Drosophila melanogaster: one gene and its partner. The protein of the gene in region 1 interacts with the protein of each later gene in a pairwise test. Each region holds a gene or a part of one and is shown on either strand. Other genes may lie near its edges. The genes, in order: Or56a and mus304.

Evidence for each region.
Region 2: the proteins of Or56a (region 1) and mus304 interact in a two-hybrid assay, tested with the Drosophila melanogaster proteins (one large-scale study listed by BioGRID).

The regions. Positions count from the first base shown.
Region 1 is NT_033778.4:19,769,327-19,773,248, forward strand, and holds Or56a (odorant receptor 56a), read right to left. Parts: upstream 1,908-3,922; coding exon 1,607-1,907; intron 1,491-1,606; coding exon 1,060-1,490; intron 996-1,059; coding exon 780-995; intron 720-779; coding exon 618-719; intron 406-617; coding exon 253-405; intron 192-252; coding exon 135-191; downstream 1-134. UniProt on the Drosophila melanogaster protein: Odorant receptor which mediates acceptance or avoidance behavior, depending on its substrates. The odorant receptor repertoire encodes a large collection of odor stimuli that vary widely in identity, intensity, and duration.
Region 2 is NT_037436.4:18,107,870-18,111,791, forward strand, and holds the start of mus304 (mutagen-sensitive 304), read left to right. Parts: upstream 1-1,944; 5' UTR 1,945-2,045; coding exon 2,046-2,681; intron 2,682-2,760; coding exon 2,761-3,922. Other genes in the region: Polr3D (RNA polymerase III subunit D), read right to left, coding at 93-658, 711-779, 852-1,231, 1,291-1,523. UniProt on the Drosophila melanogaster protein: DNA damage checkpoint protein required for chromosome break repair and for genomic stability during development.

The DNA of each region.
Region 1 (3,922 bases):
TCTACCGTTTCCTCGGTTTTTGTGAGTATATGTGCTGGGCAAAATGAATTGCATGGCTTGTTTACTGTCATGTTAGCCAAACGAGTTGACAGGCGCAACGGCATTTGATTAGCCCTGAAGAAAAGGCTTTCCCTCTAATACAAGTGGGAGCTACGCAGCAAATTGAAGTAGCTGTAGGCTCCACGGCCAATCTGGAAAGGAAAGGCTTGAATTCGATAAATCCAATATCGAGTTAGCAGTTAGCAGCCTTACGTCTATGAAGGTCCTCAGATTCAAATCGACCAGCAGGGCGCGCATCTTCATCGGCCTTTGGGCATGCATCATCATAAAAACCAGCATTTTCTGCAAAGGCATTTCGAAGTTGTACCATCCGCAAGAAAAGTAAGCAAGGCTCAGTTCATCGTGCTGAAAAAAGGACATTTTGGGAGGCTACTAAAAGGAAGTAAACAAAAATCATGCGGAGATATTGTCTGATTGCTATGGACTTTTTTCTCCGAATTGATAGAGCTTCATCCGACATATGAATGAAAAAAATGAGAGAATAAATTAACTTTTTTAGGCGGATCTTTTGAAAATTTGTCAAAAATATATCATGCTATTCTTGTTATTATACTCACACATTCAACAATCAACGTGGCATGCCAATGATAAATCCACAATATACCAGCCATCACAAAAAGGTAAATGAACATGAAGAAGTAATCCATTTTGCTTGGAACCTAATGGGCCACATTAAATATTAGTTTGAAAACTATAAAACTATAAATATTGAAACTTACGCCAACTGTCAAGGCAAAAAAGAGAAAGCAAATGAGAACCGAGAAGATAATGAAATCTGCCATCACAGGCACGCAAATCAGATACTGTAGTTCCTGGACAAATTTTCGAATCCTCAGCTGTTCCTTTACAAATTCCTTGAAGAGTTGCATTTGCCAGAAGGTTAACTCACTGGCAGTTAGGCGACCAATTACCAATTTGGAATTAAGTCGGGTAATCTGCTCAAACGAGAATATTTATATATTTTATTTTTGAGTATACAAATTTAGAAATGATTATTACATCCATCTCCTCCACTCGCTTGTTGAGTATTTGCAGCTTGAGATTTACGTACTTCATGAGGCAAGTGATAAAGGTGTGCCACAATGGGATAGCCGTGATTCCCAGGCCCAGAGCATACCAAGGTCCCAAGTATCCAACAACGAAGTTATCGCAAAGTTCTCCGAAGGGAAACAGCTGAAATAGCAGAATGGGATGCTCCTCACCACGTCGCACAGCTGGCACATTGAAAACCGATTTCGGCAGAAACAGACTCCTGTAGATGCAGTCTGAATAGGCCATTAGGCCAGCAATAACCGATGGTATCCAGATCAACAGGGTAATGGTTCGTGTATAAGCCTGAGTGGCGACCAAAAGTTCCATCTCCCGATTATCTGCTTCGTGCATCAAGTTCTGGATATCCGAGTGGGCAACTCGCAAAAGGGATATTACTTCTAAAACAATGTGTAAGTATAAAAGAACATATCCTAGGCTTAATATTACCGCCTTATTATGTGATTTCCTTGTTGTTTTTATCAATAAACAAATTAAATTTATAATTTAAACTTACTATCTCTTTGTACGTAAGCATTAAACATGGCAATCGATACCGCGAAATACTGGACTGCGGTGGCGTAACTTGTGGCCCCATCATTGAGGTTTTCGTAACCACGAAACACTCTCGCCAGCATTAAAGCACAGCTAAGCCAAATCGATGCCGTCAAAATGGTGCACCGTATAAGACTTAACAAAGGCCTATTCTGATCCTTGGAGGCCACATATCCGTACCATTGGAAGTATCGCAGGTGGGTTCCAAAAATTGGATCCTCGAAAGTTGTCGGCGAAAGCAACAGATCCTTAACTTTAAACATGTTAAACTGTTTAGCGTTAACCATATTCAAGGGTCTTTTATAGGATTTCACAGCCACTTTTTTTGAGGTGCTAAGTGGTTTGATTAGCAAGGGGCCCCGTTAAGTGCCAATAATTGTCCAATAATTGTCTCTGTTTACCTGTTTACCGACAGGTGCTGCAGTTCTGCATAGACGATTTGGTAATGTGCTAGGTGTAAGCCCTCCAGCCAGATGGCCTTCAATTATTTGTGGCGAAGTTTAAATTCGATTTGCATGTTACACTGTGCGACGCCCAAAACTTTGTCCACATTCAGGGGCAGCAATGTCAAATGTGTTTAGGCAGCGTTGCATGCGAGTGAGTGAAATTTGCTAGTGAAATTAAACTTTTTCCCAACTTGTTCTGGCTACTTTTCGAGAGTGTCCCTTTTCCAGCGGCCGGGGCCAGAGTGTAATCAGGTAATGGAAAACGAATAAATAAGATGTGAGTAGTAGTGCTTCAGGCTTTAATAAAATTAATTTTTGATCTCTGCTCGTTGGGTCGAATTGCAGGTGCACAAACCAAATGGGGGCCAGAGTCAATCAAGTGGTCAGATTGCGTAGCCAACTATCGACCATCGAACCAACTAACCTCACATGGGACCAAAGGTCCTTTCGGCAAATGGCATTCAAGGAAGATGGAATGCGAGGACCGAGAAAACTGAGAATCCGAGAGCCCGAGGCGGGAACTCAGAGTCGGCAAACGAGAATCTCGAATCGTTTTTGCATGTGACAATCATATGCAGGAGCTGAGTAATTCGCCAATATATACATGGGGCATCAACGGATATTGTATCTGTGGAGCGAAGCATGTGCGGCACGAGTGTGTCGTCTATTTCACAATTTGCATTTAATATCCTTGTGTGAATAATTTACAAATGCAATAAACGTAAATGCGTTGGAGGAAACGCACTCAGACATGGCTGGGTGCGAACCGATCCCAGTCCATCTCCGGAATTCGAGCCCGAATCCAGCATGGAAATGCTCCACAAGCTCTGAGCTTCGGGAAAATGGGATGTGTGCTATTGTGGGGGAAAACTCAATGCACGCATATTTGTATGTTGCATGCTTGCAACTGTCTCTCTGATGTTTGTGTTTGCAAATGTGTAAATGCATTCGCAGCTCGGTCGTATTTGTCTGTCTGCTGGCGTGAAATTTGCTGTAAGCAATAAGCCTGTGAGGATATTGAAAGTCACTCGTTTCTGGTATTTACTTATGCGTTTGTTTCATGCTCTGCTGCAAAATGGAATGGGAAATCGGAAGGATTCGGTGGAGTATCTATCTGTATTGGCCTGACTTGACTCGGTTTGGCTTGGCGCTTTTCACGCCACATTTGCCGGGGCAGAGTAATCGGATATTAGCCCGCCTTGCTTATTGTTATGGCATATTTATTGGTAGTCGGAATTGCACACGATGCTGCGTTCAGTTTTGTGGTTAACTTGCAGCTTTAACAGCCCCATAACTAAGGGCTTTTCCCATCGAGAGCTCGTGTGGTCTGACTCCATTCCTTTTGACATCTTTGCGTGTTCTGTGGCTGCGATATCGGAATGGAAATTTCATATATACAACGATTGCGGTTCATTTGCAAGGATACAAGTTTAGCAATTGTCATTTAAGCTTGCCACTCAACTAGAGTATCGTAAAATTATTATTTTCCCAACATACCATCTAAAGCATCTCTAAAATAACATCTCGTTATGGCATTATAATCCATCAACTAAGTCAACTTCGATGAAATCTTTTGCGGAGAATTTTGAAACTATGCAACTTTGTTGGCCATGAATTATAGCCACATTTAACCTTAAATAAAGTCTTTTAAAAGTCCATAGACTTTAAGAGTGGGAGGACTTTACTTGGGCTTTTGGCGCCAACCAGCCACTAAATTGTTTACACGCAATTTCATCAAAACAATAAATCATGCAGTTGAATCGGCACAACAAAGGCGGCGACAACGACGACGTCCGCTTTCCCGCTTTTCCGCTTTCCCTTCACAGACGAAC
Region 2 (3,922 bases), on another chromosome or scaffold:
TAACTTTTATATACGGCATTTAGAATAGGAATAACTTAAGCTTAGGCGCAGCCTATTTACTATATTACATATCTACCATGGGGAAGTGGGTGCTACGTGCCCGGTACTGGATTCGTTCGCTTGGATGCCGCATCCTGCTGCTGGAAAAGGTGCACCCAATCTGGAGTGGCCTTTAGTTTGGCTTGAATGGGTCCCAAGTTGATCATGTTTCCACTACGTTGCTCGCGATTGGCGGTTACAGACATGAGTTCCTGCAGAAAACCCGGATCGAGACCCATATCCAAGTCAAAGCGTGTGTCCCCCAATTGGAGTTTAACGCGACCGGATTTGTACCTCAGAATCTTGCCGATCTGCCCTTCTTCCAGCTGCCGTAGTACACTGCCCTTGGGTCCGTTTGAGCATTTGTCTGCAGGACTTGCTGGTTCCGATTCACTGGTGGCCTGATGATCTCCTTTAGACGGTTCCGGATCTTCGGAATCGTCGCCCACACATGGCAACACATCTGGCAGTTGCATGAGAAAGATCTGCGCTTCGCTGGAGTCCAGAAAGTTACCAATGGTGCGTGGGTAGCGACCGTACTGCAGCGGAGGTTCCTCTAAACTGGCTGCCTGGGCAGCCACATGCAGCTGTTGCAAATGCTGGGCCACTGCCAAAGTGTCTAGGAGCGAAATCAAATTAGATTATGCCATTTTTAAAGCTTAGCGCCTTACCCTTAAGTGTTGAGGTTGAACTGGCGATTTCTTGCTTCGCAATCGGTGTCTTCTGGGTGACCCAGAGTCCTAACGTTTATAAACAAATAAAGCATGAATTTCTTCTGCCCGTGTGCATCAAAAAGTGCTTGTAAAACGTACCCTCTTTTAGCAGGATGGGCCTGAGTGCCATCTCAGTCTTGTTAGCCTCCTCTTCGCTGAGCTCGCCGCCACTGGCGTCCGACTCGCCCAAGAGCTCCTTGATCCGCTCGGCCTGGCTCTTGTCGTCCTTGCGATCCACCCGTTTCCTGGTCACGGACACCTCCTCACCGCCCCGTGCATATGCCGTTCCATTTCCTGTGGACCTTCGCACATGAACATCGCCTGCTCCTTCGGAGAAGAGTCCCTGGGTTTGGATGAGCGTGGAGTTGCCCCCGCCAGCGGAATTTCCACCTCGACCACGTGTTGCTCCAGTGCCGTTGCCACGTCCACCTCTGCGGCCGCTCCTTGGCTGCGTGGTGTCCTTGGATGTCTTGACATTGCTGTGAATCAAATGAGATGATGAAAAGAATGACTCCCCCTGGGCCATTCCACAACTCACGCATTTTTATTGCGCACAGCATTCAAATTGGGAGCAAAGACCTTTTTGCTGGCTGTCCCAGCGCCGCGCCCACCAAGGGTCAAGTCGCGGGCGGGGGTCAGCCTGGTCATTCCGTTTAGCGTCTCCAGTGGGCGTGCACCGCCACCAGACTGACCATTATTCGTGGTGGACCCACTGGCTCCACTGATGGTCGAAGCTGCTGCTGTGGTGACCGTCATCCTCTTCGCTGGCATGGCGTTCCATTCGCGCCGCCCGTCACCTCGAAAATTCGACCGAAGTCGCTGGGTTCTGGTTTCCCCGTAAGTCCTTTAGTTTTGGGCTAGAATTTCCGCAGAATTCTTTGATTTTCCTTTGAGGTTAATGGGAAAGCTGAGTCGATACACCACATGCCGATACACCGCAGTCGATAGACTTGAGTGTAGCCAGATGACTTTGGTTTTGCTCAATATTAATCGGATTTTGAAACTGTGATTGTAGCGGGTTTCTATCGGCGCTTAAAAAAAACCAGCATAATAACAAAGAGCGATATTACAAAACTGGCTTTTTGTTGCAGTAAATCCTAATGTAGTATTTTTCTATGCAACATGGATTCGAAACATAATCTCTATTTTGGTTGGGCAAATCCATCGTTGCGATCAAATCCATCTGGCAACGCTAGTTGAGCTCTACATTTTATAAACAAAGCAAACCGGCAAAATAATCTACGACTTTCCATGGCCAAAAAGTAACGAAATATAGCGGAAACTGGAGGAACCATGGCCAAGCGCTTTTCTGCCATGAAAGACTTCGCGCGGTGCAAGAAACCGCGCCTGGATGTTAGCGTTACCCGCGGATCAGCGCGACCCAGTCCACCGAGGAACAATTTCGATGGGATTCTCTGGGACGACGATGACGATGTCATCCTGATGGCCACCCAGCTGGCGGAGGCGGAAATCGAGGCGGAGGAGCGGAAAAAGAAGGGCGGAACAGAGGTGGACATCGGCAACAGCGAGGTCACCTTCAGCGAATTTGCACCCACTTTTCAGGGCTCAACCAGCACACAGCAAATGTTTCCGCCGCCACCGCCGCCACAAAAGAAGCCTACTTCCCTGGATATGGATGCGATTTTCGCGGATGATGATGATTTCGATTTTCTGGCCGTTACCCTCATGGACAGTGAGCCACAAAAGATGCCGGAGCCGAAGACCAGCACAAGTAGGATAACTACCAGCAGCATAAGTGTTCAGCAGAAAACCACGACCACGACGACCATCAATGCCACGCAATCCCGCCAGCAGGAGCATCAGCTAAAGTTTCTCATGGATAGGATTGAAGCCCTTAAGCGGGAAAACGCGCAGCTGGAAAAGAATTTGGGCGACAGTAAGGAACGCAATGAGATCAAGTCTGGTGAGGTAGGTGGACATCGGGGTGGAACTATAACACCGATTCTAGACCTTACAGAAACTAATCCATTTATATTTATTTCTCTAGGTTTCCTTACTTCGTGATGAGCTGAAGCACTTGCGCCAGCAGCTGCAGGCTAGCAAAATGGAAAAGCTGGCTTTGGCCGACGAAACGAATCGGGATTGCAACAAAAAAGTGGCAGAAGCGGCCAAACAAATTGCGGCCAAGGACATCGAGTTGAAGATTAAGAACGCCGAGTTCTCAAAGTTGAAGACACAGCAAAAAGCCCATGAAAGAAGCATGAATTCCAGCATGAGCATTTTACAGGCTGCTCCAGATCCTTTGGAGAAACGCTTATCACTTCGCTTGAATAGGCTTAACATACACAGATCTGTGCCCGGGCTGAAAACCGATAATGGCAGTGTGTTCGAATACAGCGAAAATGAGGATCAGACTAAGAAACGAAGAAATCATTTTGAACTGGAATTAAAGCAACTGCTACTTCATTACGCTCGGCTGCAGGCAAAGCCGGAATCTGTGGATAACCTCCTGCCAAGAATACTCTCGTCGGTCGGCAAGGTATTCACGGAGTTTGCTTCGTATGCTCAAAGTTTGGACTTTCCACACAACTGCATGCTGTATCCCTACAATCCCCACAACCTAGAGGAGGAAGTTCATCGCATTTCCCTGACCCATCAGAGCTGTTTGTATGATAACGAAAAGGCTGTTCCGCTGCGTCGCTTCATAGCTACCTTGGCTTTGATTTGCCGGCGAGAGGAAAGGATTTCTAGAGGTCTCACGGAGTGGAAAGAAAATGATCTGGGACTGCTAGATATGGCTATTGAAGCTATCACAAAACTAGGATTTTCCTACGAGGTCGGCCAACACTTTGGATTGCTGGAAGCCTTGACTTCACTCCTAAATAGCCTCCTACAAGAAAATGCCCTTCTTCAACATAACGAGGAGCTACTCTTCGATCTGCTTAAGCAGTTAGTTTTTACTCGTCCCAGTCCTTGGGTTTTTGCTGAGCTTAGCTCCTGCTTTTTAAGCTGCCTTAGACATCCCCAACTTATGGATAAAATGTGTGTGAATAGTCCCAAGGACTGCTTTGTATCGGATCGCGTTCGCTCCGTTTATCGATTTGGTCCCGACTCCTGTTTACTTCAGGTCTACGCGGGCCTACTCGAGCTATGCTTCTTTAGTGAAACTCCTCTGCGGCAGGACTACTTTCAGTTGCTGCTCAAGATCG